Caenorhabditis elegans: one gene and its partner. The protein of the gene in region 2 purifies or fractionates together with the protein of the main gene of each other region. This does not show direct contact. Each region holds a gene or a part of one and is shown on either strand. Other genes may lie near its edges.

Evidence for each region. Proteins that work in one complex are often made in the same cells at the same time.
Region 1: the proteins of C55A6.7 (region 2) and exc-15 fractionate together in Caenorhabditis elegans (co-fractionation; one large-scale study listed by BioGRID). This does not show direct contact.

Annotation. Positions count from the first base shown.
Region 1 is NC_003283.11:4,481,789-4,488,699, reverse strand, and holds exc-15 (NADP-dependent oxidoreductase domain-containing protein), read right to left. Parts: upstream 5,242-6,911; 5' UTR 5,196-5,241; coding exon 5,060-5,195; intron 4,585-5,059; coding exon 4,247-4,584; intron 3,485-4,246; coding exon 3,036-3,484; intron 2,362-3,035; coding exon 2,283-2,361; 3' UTR 2,157-2,282; downstream 1-2,156.
Region 2 is NC_003283.11:11,517,199-11,524,172, forward strand, and holds C55A6.7 (DeHydrogenases, Short chain), read right to left. Parts: upstream 3,333-6,974; 5' UTR 3,236-3,332; coding exon 3,107-3,235; intron 2,960-3,106; coding exon 2,435-2,959; intron 2,388-2,434; coding exon 2,286-2,387; 3' UTR 2,136-2,285; downstream 1-2,135. Other genes in the region: C55A6.4 (DeHydrogenases, Short chain), read right to left, coding at 1-4, 213-380, 435-563; C55A6.11 (uncharacterized protein), read left to right, coding at 3,434-3,520, 3,758-4,183, 4,229-4,336; pafo-1 (RNA polymerase II-associated factor 1 homolog), read left to right, coding at 4,568-4,608, 4,660-4,761, 4,811-4,937, 4,992-5,252, 5,305-5,914, 5,971-6,107.

The DNA of each region.
Region 1 (6,911 bases), 7.0 Mb from region 2:
TCTAGATCCCGAGAAAAATATTCCAAAATTTAAATACAATTTTTTAAAAAGGAAACAAAATTGAACCATGACCAGCACTATAGTGCGAGCAGGTTCAAAAGTATACTGGCCAAGACCGTCTGCCAGTGGACGTACAGGACATCGCCTCCTTCTGTTTCCCAGACAGCCTGCCATCTCCACACTAGTTCAAAGCCAACTACACAGCTAATAAAGGCAGGTGGTATTGTTGCCAGGAAATTGACAAAAATACAGATTTCTAAACTAGAATTCAATTTTGAAAAATAAATTTAAAAAAAAAACCATGTTTTTAAAACTGGGGGACTTTGAAATAATTATGTACTGCGAAACTGTATTTATACGAAAGTACATTGGCGAATTCAAACAGAGCTGCACCTTTCAAGTTAACTAGACGAAAACTTGACTACAAATTCAGAGCAATCAAATTTACAAACAAATAATCAAAGAAAAAGTATACAAAAGAGTACGGAAAAACATGGCGAGACCACGAAATAGCAGTATAGTGCGAATACCAAAAAAAAGTATACTCTAATCCAAGAAATGACACCACTTACAGGCGGTGTGACCACGTCATCACTCTTTGTCTCCCTGACCTCTTTCCAATTTTAGCTCCCGGGAACCGCCTGGGGTCAAATGGTGTAGGGGAATTTATCGATCGGAAATCCAGCGTTTTTATGGCTGGGGTCTATTTGGGCAGTAAATCCGAAGGAGTATTCGTATAGTGTATTAATTCTTTAAAAAAAGGATTGAACATAAATTTTAGAATGTTTAGAAAATTTACTTGATTTTATCTGAAAAATTGCACACTCTATCAATCATTGTTTACCCAGTATACAGAGGGTATCGGCTCAAAAAATCAATGTACTAAATAATTTTGAGATCAAGATAAATTTGCCAAATAGTTAATATTTTCTAGAAGATCACTAAATTAAAAACGTTTATGTTAAAAAAAAACTAGAATATACTAAACATAGACTAATAGTTCTTGTCGACGAGGCGTGCAGAACTTTTAAAAAATTTGAAAATGGATCTGAAACTAATTTTTAAGGTACCGTTGAGAAGTTAGTGCCTGTTTTTTTCAATTTTTTTTATTTTTCAAAAATTATATAAGTATGTTAAGTATTTACCATATCTTGTTCAGCTGCAAAAATCATTATATCTTTTGGAAAAGATAAAAATGTTTCATAATAGATTTTCGGAAAAAAAAATTATTTTGGAGCAGGTATTTTGAGAAAAAATATTTTTCAAGTTTGACTAAACTAAAAATATTCACCCGAGCTGAAAAACGTAAAATAATGATTTTTGTTTAAAAAAAACCGAGTAGTGAAATTTCAGAAACGCCTGCTTTGCATAGATACATTTTAGTTGTTCCAAATAGTTTTTTAAAGTATAAATATGCAGTGAGTGGGAATTTCGTCTCAATAAACTTATACACACGTTTTACATGATCAAATATAATATCTGAAAAACTACAAAAAAATCAGATTTTTCAAAATTTTCTGTCAAGTTTTTGGTAAATCTCAAAATTTCCAAAATCATAAATTTTTGAAAAATTCCAAGAATTGCTGTAGGCTTGAAAATTATTATAGAAAAAAACTGAAACTGTAAATAAAAAAATTTTGAAATTTTTCTTGAATATGCTAATTTAAATTGTTTTTTTTTTAAATATTCTACTTCATCATTTTTCATCTCAAAAAAAAATTGAAATTTCCTATAGCATTCATAATTTGCCTAAATTATTTATAGGAACTCATTCCAAATCCCACCACCTGTACCCCCACAAACTGTTTTGGCAGATTAAGTGTGGAATAACGTAAGGAAACAAATGAGGTGCCGAAATGTAGTCGCCTATGATCTGATATGCACACCAAAAAAAAGAAGTGCCTTCACTTCATCCTCAATTATGCAATCAAAAATCTGTCGTTTGTTTGGTCTCAAGGTCGATGGTCCTCTTCGTCGGAAACCTTTTGAAGTGAGACGAGACCTGTTGTCCAATTATTTGTCGATCATCAACTGTTTTTTTTTATTGTTTCGCCAACACTTCCGAGACTGGTTTATCCCCTGATATTCGACCATAAAATACATGCGGGAAATATATATATATATATATATATATATATATATATATATATATATATATATATATATATATATGATGTACTTCATTATTTCGAATCAAAATTACAAATATTCATAATAAGAAATGTGCGATAAAGAGTTCTACAATCCATTTTGTTTTCTAATTCACAAGTTGAGCCAAAAGTCTAGTGAAGTCTGATCCCAACTTTTGGAACTTTGGAGGTGTCAATGTCGTCGTGTGGGAAGAATGGATGCTTGACAGCGCTGAAAAATTATACAATGATAATTTGCATAGCTTTGTGTACTACACGAGGAAAAGTGTGATTTAATTTGTTTATAGGATTGTATAATTTTGAGCTGGAATTCTTGAGTTTGGACCATCGAATTTTTGCCAATTTTGGAAATTTCGGCAGTTGGCAAAATTGTCAATTGCCGAAAATTTCCAAAACTGGCAATTGCCAAAATTGCCAGTTGCCGGAAATCAGAATTGCCGGAAATATAATTTTAGCCTAAACATGCATTTTAAGGAACAATTTTCCTTTTTCAAGCTCAAAATGATTGAATCCTTGATGGATTTAACGCTTTCTTTCAGAAAATGACTAACTGAATACTAAAAACCAATTTGCAATTTTTTCAATTTCCGAAATATAGTTAGGTTTGAAAATCGCCGAAAATGTCCGGCAATCGACAATTTCTGCAATTTCGGCAATCGCCGGAATCGCCGATTGCCGGAATTTTTCAAAACCGGCAATTGATGAAATTGCCAATTGCAGCGCACTCTTGGTTTGGACTACTGAAGATTTACCGGCCCACTGACGGGAAAATATCCTGAAGTGAGCGAGTGGAGGGGAAATAATTTCGACAAAAATATAAAAGTTTCAAACTTGAAATGGTTTTTTTTAATTTTAAAACATTCGTTCCATAGATAAAAAACCTACAAATCAGCGATGAAAAGTCTAGTTCTGGTCTCGATACTGTTCAAAGTGTGCATATCCTCATCGCTCAGCTTAAAATCAAACGTCGAGATATTCTCAACAATTCTGTCCGGACTGACACTCTTCGGAATCGTCGAAATACCGTGTTGAGTCAGGTGGCGAATGAGAATCTGTGCAGCAGTTTTGTGATACTTGGCAGCCAGTTGTTTGACGATTGGCTCGAGAAGTGGGTCACCTTCCGGCCAGACACCGTCCGGACGAGCAGCTTTTCTGCCTGGTGAGCCAAGTGGTGCGTATGCTGTAACAGTGACTCCGAGTTTTTTGCACAGAGCACGGAGCTCTTGTTGTGGCCAATAGATGTGACACTCGACTTGTTGGTTGGCTGGCTTCACTTCGGCGGCGTCATAGAGCGCTTGAAGCTGGTTGCAACTGAAGTTGGATACTCCAAGGGCCTGAAAATTATATTTTTGGAGAAAGAACACTACGTGTAACTTGAACATGGATAGTTAACAAAATATTGGCAACTAATTTTTCTACATTCTGCTGAAATTTTATAAGTATATGTATTCCAAAAAACGTTACAGCAGCTGACACCCGGTGGGTCTAATTTTGACTACATTTTTTGAATAAACCACTGGAAATTTTCAAGAAAAAATTTAATAAGAACATTTTTAATACAAACTTTTCATCACATGGACGGCAAACGATTTTTCGGGCAAACTGCCTGTTTAAAAATTTCCGCCAAATCGGCAAACTGACAAATTGCTTACCGAATTTGCCGGAAAAAAGGCCAATAATTTTCGAAAAATTGTGGTTTTGCACTTTTTTTTTTGGAAATTTCAGAATTTCAATTTTAATCGGCAAAATTGTACGCATCCTATGAATGTTTCTACATCTGTTTTGAAAAATAAGCAAATCCTTTGAAAATGTTTAATGAAAACGGGAAAAAATTTCAAAAAGACACAGTGTTAAGTGCTTCCGTCTTATAAAAAATTCCCTCTAAACACTTCCGGCAAATTTATATAATGGCGAACGGCGAATCAGCGAATTGCCGAAAATGAAAACTTCCGGCAAACCGTCAAACCGGCAATTTGCCGTTTTGCCGAACTTGTCGACAAAAAAATTTGCCGAATGGCATTGCCGCCCACCCCTGATTCAATTACTTTATGGAAATCGAAATTGCTGATGTTCCTTCAAGACCAAATCTCACAAACCTTAAGCTTTCCCTCCTTGTACAACTTCTCCAACGCTCTCCATGTATCAATATGAGCGATTTCTGTAACAGCAAGCTCTCCATTCTCCATCAATGGAGCAAAGCTTCCCTCCTGATGTTTGAATGGGAATGGGCAATGGATCAAATACAGGTCAATATACTCAAGTTGAAGCGCCTTCAATTGGCTTTCCACACATTTTGGAACATCTTCCGGGGCGTGAGCGGTAAATGGAAGTTTAGAGGTGACGAAGATGTCCTCGCGTTTCAGTTTTCCAGATGAGATGTACTCATGGAGCACTTTTCCAATAATGTGCTCGTTTTGGTAGAGGTGAGCAGTGTCTGAATATTGAAAAAATGGGATTTTCAGTTGTCAAAACGTTGTCAAAACTGCCCTCCAAGGATCAACTTTGCCAATGGTTTTATTCGAAAACTCGAAAAACTGGACACCGTAAAAAATCTCAACATTTGTGTCAAAAAGTAGAAAAATACCTAGAATTTGAATGGGAAAATCTGAAGTTAAAGGTGTGAGTAAAGTTTGTCGGTTTTTTGAAAATGGGTCGTAGTTACCGAATGTAAAAAATGTTGGAAAAAAATTTCAAAATTTTTAATGTTTTTTTTCAATTGTGCAAAAAATTTAATTAACTGGTTTGAGCAAGCCACCACTTTTTTTTTGAGTTTTCCGTTTTTGGCCAAAAATAACATTTTTTAAATCGGTTTTTATTTTCCAATTATTTTTTTGTGACATCTCAAATGGAAGAAGAAAAGAAAACATGACTAAAAAAAAATTATGGTTTCCATCTAGGACAGCACTCACCAATAAGTCTGTATCCAGCATCAAGAGCTGCACGAAGAGCCACAGTCAGCTCAGCTTCATCCTTCACCTGCCACGTTCCCAATCCGAAAAGTGGAAGCTGAGCTCCGGTATTCAATGGAATAGAGTCTACGGTCATTCTGCAAATACTCAAAATGAATATGACCGAAAAGCAGAAAACTGATAAATGTAAAAGGAGAAGCTACGTTTAAACCAATAGATGACAAAATGATAAACAAAATAAATGATAAGAGGTATTTTGTGACCATCGGCAAGAAATAGAGACGAGAGATGAACAAACGGTTTTCGCTCAGTCACAAAAAATGAATGCCGGAAAAATAGAAAAAAGATGAAAAGACCGTAACGGAAAATGTTCAATGATGCGGAGGCCAATTTTCACTTTTTTTTCATGCAAATTCCAAAAACATGACAATTGTTTTTGTTTGTGGCAATGTGAGAACTGAGACTATTGACAGAAATTTGAAATACATGCAGATAGATGTTCATGTGATGAAACAGTAGTAGGAAGTGGACGACGTTGAAATGAAGGACGCCTAGATAAGAGGGGAAAAGTGTTGTCAGATGACCGAAAAGTGGGTGAGTTCGAAAATCATTATTTGATCGTTTGAAGTAATGAAAAAACAACAAAAGACACAAATTAAAAATTTTTAAAAGGTGAAGTAGCGTAATATCGTGCCAAAATTAGGAAATATCATAGTAAAAATTTTCAAAAATTGTTTTAAAAAGTTATATTTACAGTCAAAAAAAAAAAAATAGAAATGCCGGAAAGGCCTTCTGAAAATAAAAAGTTTATTGTTGAAAAATCTAAAAGAAACTTTAAATAGGGCCTTAAAATTGTTGTTTTGTGCAAAAATTACTTTGAATTTTTCACAGCAAACTGAAATTTTCAACGACCGTTTGAGGTATTTTTTAAACTTTCAAATAAAAATGAATAAAAATTTCAGATTGAACAAACAATTTTCTACATTTTTTTTAAATATTTGATTTGAAAAAGTTATACTTTCGTACTGAAATGAACAGTTCTGTACGTTTGCCAATTCTTTGAAAAACCGATTTTTTATAGAGTGCAATTTTTATGTGACAGCCTGGTTGTTGAAATCTTAACTATTATCAATTTGCTATACCGTTCAAAAATTATTTTGAAGTGGACGCTGGCTTCTGCAGAAAAGTTGATTTCTCATTGAATATGTAAAATGATATTGAAACCTGAAACGTGCAAAAATTTTGAGATTAAAAAAAACAATCCCATCCAGAACATAAACTGTAAAAATCTGACAAAAAAAATTCCAAAAACCGGTTGCCGAAAATAAAATGGAAAAAATAGAGAAAAATAACATATGTACAGTATAAATTATTAAATTTCCATTGATTAACGGCCAAGCAACTAAAAGTGTCTAACTAGCCTCTACTGAAAATTAAAAATAAAAATTTGAGGTAAGTACACGATTTCTTAAAATTCCTAAACTTGGGTTCAGCATTTTCCAGTTTTTGAAACAAAACTTGATAGCGTGGTTCTTCGATTTCACAGATTACGAATCTACAATATTAAAGAACATTTCGGGATTAATTTTCAATCTATCACGCATATTTGATCTACGAGAGGCTGATCTACCGGGTTCGATAGCTATCTTCCGAAAGCAGATCACTCGAGAAGGGCATAATTCAGTGTGTATTTGAGATGTCAGGTTCCTCGTGCTGCATCTTTTTTGATGTTTTTTGTAATGTTTTTAATGTTCTATGCAATTATGAAAAATTTGGATTTTTAGAAAATTCTAAAACTTTTTTTTAAAAACGATTATATAATACACCGTATTTCTACTTTTAGTATTACGTC
Region 2 (6,974 bases):
GTTTCTGAAAATTTGATATTTTAATGGATAAATTATATCTGTGTATTTCTTCCCCGACTATCACCCGAATAATGTAAAATTGATTGTGTTTGAAAACTTTCAGAAAAAATTGGACAACACGTTGACAAATCTTCACTGTTAGTGAGCTTTGGAAATAGTCAACTAATCCATTTCCTAATTTAATCTTGTACCCGAACTTTTTTTAAACATACCGCTTTACATGGATAATCCACCGCGTTTCCCGCATTATTGACAAGCAGGTTAAGTCCATCAGATCCAACAATTTCTTCAACTTTTGAGACAAAAGTATCCATTGATTTATCACAAGTAACTTCCAATTGGAGAGCAGTAACACGAGGATCACTAATTGCTTTCAAATCCTGAAACGTTTTTTGTGCCCGAAATATCAGACATTGAAAAAAAAATTAACTTACTGTTGCTTTCTCAACATCTCTAGCAGTTGCAATAATATGACGAATATTCTTATCTTTCACGAATTCTTGAACAAGTCCAAGTCCGATTCCACGATTTGCTCCAGTAATGACAACACTTTTTGGAGACATGACTGAGGACGAAAAATCAGACTAATCGAAAGGAATATAACAAGACATGTTAACGTGGAACAAAATTCACCACATAAAAGCTCACGGGAAAAATAGTTCAAAAAAAATCTCCACGTTAAAACACAAACAGTTTGCATCTTCTCGCGAAACACTTATTCTCAGCGATCGAAGGTCAGAAAATAGATGACATTGATTTTCCGAAAAAAGAAAAAAGTGTAGAGTGATAACTGGAAACAAACAAAATGTCATCCGTTTATTGAGACTGATTGAAAAGTCTTGAATCATGAAAAAAATGACATAACTTTATGACTGTTTGAGAAACAGAAAACTCTCAATGTTTTTAGAATGAGTGTGGATTGAGGTTTCTGTCAAAGTATCTTCCACTGTGAGAGTTGTTTAGTTTGTAGAAACTGGCAGTTAACTCTGTTGTTGATTCTTCAACCTAAAAGCAAAATTTGTGAAAATTAAGAGCTAAAGTGTAAGAATCACTTACAGTGTAGGTAGCCAGTGGTCCTCCTAATCCAGTTTGAACCCATCCTGGACAGAAGTTGACCACCAAAATATGATCATCTTTCAGATCAATTGCCAATGTTCTACCAAACATATTAACTGCAGCCTTGCTCATTCTGTATGCTAGCACATCTGGAGGGAAAGTTGATGTTTTTTTTTAAACTACACTTGTAGTGTTGACATCAAGTTGATTGGCAATCAATGAACGGTTTGGCTCCTGAAAATATTAAAAGTTTAATCATCTCAACCAATAATTAACGAACCGATTTGTTATTGTATTTGGTGATTATCCCTGCATTATTAACAAGCAAATTGAGACCCTCCGATCCAACAATTTCTCCAACTTTGATCACAAAATCATCAATTGATTTATCACAAGTCACTGTCAAGGGAAGAATGTGGATCCGGGGATCCTTGATAATTCTGAGATCCTATAAATTCTCATTAAGAAGTGAAAACCTGAGTTTGCCAATGAACTGTTGAGATGAGAGAAACTAGGTAAATCAAAGAGGTTTGGTCATTTCGCTACATAAATCACAAATATACAGTGCTCCACATAATGATACGGCCACCCCCAAATTTTGGTATAACTCAAAACTGGGTTGAGATAGCAAAACATAGTTTCTTGTGAAAATGTTCGCTGTACTGGCTAACTTTCAGATAAGTATTGGAAATATACATGAACCGTTCGTAAAAAAAGATAAACCATTTTTTGATGAAAAACCATATAAAAAAATCCACAAAATGATACGGCCACCCTTGGTTTTTGTTTTCTTTTTTCGTTTTTTTTTGCAATTTTTTTTTGCTAAACGTTAGGTTTCATGCTCGTTTGTGTTTTTACAGCTATGTGTCGTGGAATAACTTTAACTGACTACGAAAAAGGACAAATTGTGCAAAATTATCTCAAGGCTTCTCGGATCGTCAGATTTTTCGTGATTTGAAACGTTCAAGAGATATGATCATTCGATATGCTTCAAATCCTGCCGCTTATTGCACCAAATTTTGAAATTTTTGCATCTTGATCTTTTAGGTCCCCATATCTGATTGTTTACTTCAATGTTAATTCTATTTCAATACTTTATCAGAAAGAAGTTTCTAAGAAGTTTGATACAACACATAAACAATACAGATTTAAATAAAACCAAGAAGAACACAGTGAAAGTAAATCAGTCGTACAACAATCATTAAATGGATAAAAAAGGGCTGAAAACTTTAATACGGAATAATTGAAAGATCTCTTCGGAAATATCCGCCATTGTGTGTTGCTCCTAGTTTGTTGAATGCCGCCAATATTTGTGAGGAAGATTCCTCAATCTGAAAAGGAACAATTATAACTATGAAATTCAAAAGCATGATCTTACAGTAAGTTGTCCTTTCCCTTTACTCATATCAGTTTGAACCATTCCTGGACAAATTCCAGCTGTTAAAATATGATCATCTTTTAGATCAATTGAGAGAGTTTTTGTAAACTGATTCACCGCACACTTCGTCATTCGATATGCCATTGCTTTATATTCACCAGAACCACTGGTATTTTCAGAAATTGAACCAAGAAATTCGGATGCAATATTAATGATTGCACCACGAGAAACGGAAAGTGTATCGCCTTCCTGTCGTTTCGAAGCTTTGATTATGAGTGGTACAAGGCTTTGTGTAAGCATCATTGGACCAATTGTATTTGACTCAAACAAATCCAGAACAACTTTTCGATCAGGTTTTTGTTTTGTTACATATGGAAGCATCACAGCTGCATTATTTATAAGAAGAGTTAATCCAGATTCTCCAACAATTTCAGACACTTTTTCAGCAAAATTTGCAATTGATTCATCGGATCCGAGTGAGAGTTGAAGAATGTGAAGTCGTGGATCACAAATTCCCTTGAGAGCCTGAAAAATTGGAAATTAAGAATGCCGTAGTCCAATACATGTTGTTGGGAAATTTTTACCATATACAAATATTAGGAACACAAACCTAATACAAATAACTATAATCTCAGCAACGGATAAAGTATAAATAAACTCGAAAAAACTTACAGTTGCCTTATCAACATCTCTTGCAGTCGCAATGACATGCTGAACATTTGGATCTTTCAGAAATTGTTGAACTAATCCAAATCCCAATCCTCGATTGGATCCGGTTACCACAACTGATTTTGGAGACATTTTCACTAGAATTTAAGCATAGAATTGAATTAACAGAAATCGAAAATCAATGAATGATGATTATTATTTCTTATCAATAGTATTTCTCTTCTGTTCTGCAAAATAAACAGCGTGATGAACTGCCACAATAATTAGTTTGGTTTATTGCAGTTTTTAGTTTATTTCGGAATTTCTGAGAAGAGATCAAAGAATTAGACAATGAAGAAAACTATGATAATTTCGATTTTGGTTAATACAGTTTTGCTCTTCAATCAAGTGTTGGTTGCGAACGGGGAAAATGTGAATGTAGGTTTACACAGGAGATGTTATAAAGGACTTTCCTTGGTTCTATTCCTGAGCTTTTCCAGTTGTCCCTGGGAAATTTTCTTTCAAATATTTTTAATGAAAGAGAAACGATAGACAAAAAAAGATAGACAAAAAACTAGGCGCAATTTGTTTTGCTATTGTTATGTTTTTGTAGGTTATGAGCAATTTCAAAATAAGATCTTTCTAGAAAATTGTAAAAATATTATTTCATTCAAGGTATCCTGCCCAATTTTATCCCGAACTCGACACAAAGAACTTCGAACTTTCATGTACAAAAACTGCACTTCCGGTTTCAAGACATGCTTTCAACAAATTATGCTCACTGAAATCGTTCGAAATGAGCAACACGCATTTCTATTTGCCTCTGGTTGTGCTTCGAAGGAAATTCTCAAGCCATTCAATCTAACCGAGGAAACATTCATGAAGTTATGTGACAAGAAAAAAGTGGGACGATGTGTTCATACATACCAGCATCGAGTTTATTATGGTACACTCTGCTGTGAAAGGAATTCGGAAAAAATGTTCGGATCTTGGCTGTGGGATGTTTTCTTTGGAAGTAGTGAAGAGCTAAATGCTGAAATGGAGAATACTGTTAGCTTTGTTCAGCGTGAAAGTATCGGAATGCACGATGATCATGATAATGTAGGCTTTAAAAGTTCACAACCCCACATTTATATAATTTTCCAGAAAGGAGCATTGGCTCTCTACATTGCTGGACCATTCATTGTCACCTTTATATTTACATTATTGTCCCTTTTACAATATTATCATGTTAATGATGGCATTTTGTCATAAAATAAATATTATCGTGACGAGAACGCTGGAAATTCACAAAACAAAAAATACTTTTTGAACACCCGCGCAAAACTGGTTATGCGCCATTGTTCCCTGCTGACGCGCATTGAGCGCTTGCGCAAAACCCGTGTGTGAGAGTTTGAATTTAATTCCCTCGGTGACTAGTTTTTTCGATTTGCAGCCGTTTCTGCCGATTGGTATCTTAATATTATAACTAAATTACTATAAAAAATGCCCCAAGAATCCTCAGATGCCAAAAGGATTGAACCTCCGTAAGTATTATTGTTTTGAATCGCTAGAAAAGTTTTGAAAACATTTTGCAGACGAAAAGTGGATTTCATGCTGAAACCTCGATTTACCAATACTGTTCCTGATGTCCCATTTGATGCAAAGTTTATGACTTGTCCATTTGTTCCTCTGGGAAGGTACACCAATTTTGAAACGTTTGACATTGTTCAATATCTCTGAATTTAGATTTGTCGAATTCCAACCTGCTGCCATTTATCGAGATTACAAGCATGCAGTCATTTGTGACGACGACATGGGTTTGAATGTCGATTTGATTGATCTAAAAAAATACGACGAAGATCCAATCGAAACTGTAGGTTTTTTCCTGAAATATACAGTTTCAAAGATAGAAATGTTTCACTTTTAGGAAATTGATGAGAAAGACAATATTTTACTGGAAGATGATGGCGCCGCTAAATTGATTGCAAAACGATCTCAACAGCATTCTAAACTTGTTCCATGGATGAGAAAAACCGAGTACATTTCAACTGAATTCAATCGGTTCGGTGTGACAGCCGATAGACAGGAGACGAAGCTTGGTTATAACTTGAAGAAAAATCAACAAGTTGAAGATATGTATCGTGACAAGCAGAGTCAAATTGATGCCATTAACAAGACATTTGAAGATGTAAGTACCAGAATATATTTTTTTGATTTAAATCTACTTTTGCGTATTTTAGGTTCGTAAACCCGTCAAGGAGCATTACTCCAAGAAGGGTGTAAAAGCTGTTGAAGAAAGCTTTGTCTTCCCTGATTTCGATCACTGGAAACACCTCTTTGCTCATGTACAATTTGATGGAGACACTATAACAACAGAATTCGAAGAAGAAGATGAACGACAACAAGCACGGGAGAGCAGTGTTATTAAAGCCATGGAATTCGAAGATCAAAAATTTGCAGCAGTTTTTGTTCCAACGATTGGATGTCTTACGAGTTTTATGGATGATCTTGAGTTAGAACGACCATTTGATGAGGATATGAAGTACGAATTCTTGCTAAGCCGTGAATACACATTTAAAATGGAACACTTGCCACCAAGGGATCGTGACGTCTTCATTATGTATCATCGTAATAACGTTTTCCAGTACAACGAAGTTGACTGTAATGTCAAGATGACAAGAAAACCAAAAATGGCATTGAGCAGAAAATCCAAATTGACACTCACATACCGAAATCCTTCCGAACTGGAACAAAAAGACATGAATAAAAGAGAGGCTGAGTTATACGAACAGCCAAAGACCAGAAAACAAGAGATTCTGGAAAAGATTCAAGAGAAGAAAGAAGAAGGTGGTGAGTAAATTTAAGTTTTGAAGTGTTATTTTCCACGCGAACATGCAATTTTTCAGGAGACAGTTCAGATCAGAGCAGTGATTCTGATGACGACAAGCCGCAGAAATCACGATCTGATAGCTCTTCGGACGTTTCATCAGATGACGATTCACCACGGAAAAAGGAACCGACTGTTGACAGCGACAGTGATTGATCTCAAATTTTTAAAATTGTTTTTCTATTTATTTTACCTAATCAAATTGGTTTTTCTCAGTAAACTTGATAACGATTTCAACTATTTGTTCGATTGATCTTCATGAATCTTCGCTAAAAGTGCAAGTATGATTTGACTCACAATTGAAGAAAAAACCAACAGCGGAAACACCAACACCCGCAAAGTTCTGTTTGTGTAGGTGTCTGTTGCTTGCGCTTATGTGCTCCACGTTCTATTCTTTGATTTGTCATGCGGAAGCAACAGGATCAGAGGGCAAGACGTTTAGTTTTGGGGGAAATTCGAACTACCGTTCTGATTGGAATGCGTATTGCGAAACATTGAATATATCCCGTAGCGAAAACTACAGTAATTCTTTAAATGACTACTGTAGCAATAGATTTTCGAAACTACAGTGCATTTTTTTTCCACTTCTACGACTTTAAAGGCGCGCGTATTTATACAAAATGGTCCCGTCATTGGTCTCGCCACGCGCTCAACAAATCAAAGGGATGCGCGTGGCGAGACCATTGCGCGAAAATGCGCGCGCCTTTAAAGTCGTAGAAGTTGTAAAAAAAGCACTGTATTCCAAAAGAAATTCATTTCAAAATTCCAGCCCGTAAATCGACACAAGCACTACAGTAGTCATTTCAAGAATTACTGTAGTTTTCGTGATACTTTGAGCGTCAAACATGTTACGCAATATGGATTCTCATAATTTTTTGTTCCCGGAATAAGAAAGTTTTCTGGGGACAGAAACACATTTAAAAAAGTACAATTATGGAACTATTGGAATGGAAATCCGTTCAATTTGTCAAAATATGAAAATAGTTTTCAATGCCACCGTTCACAGATCCTCATCATTATCAT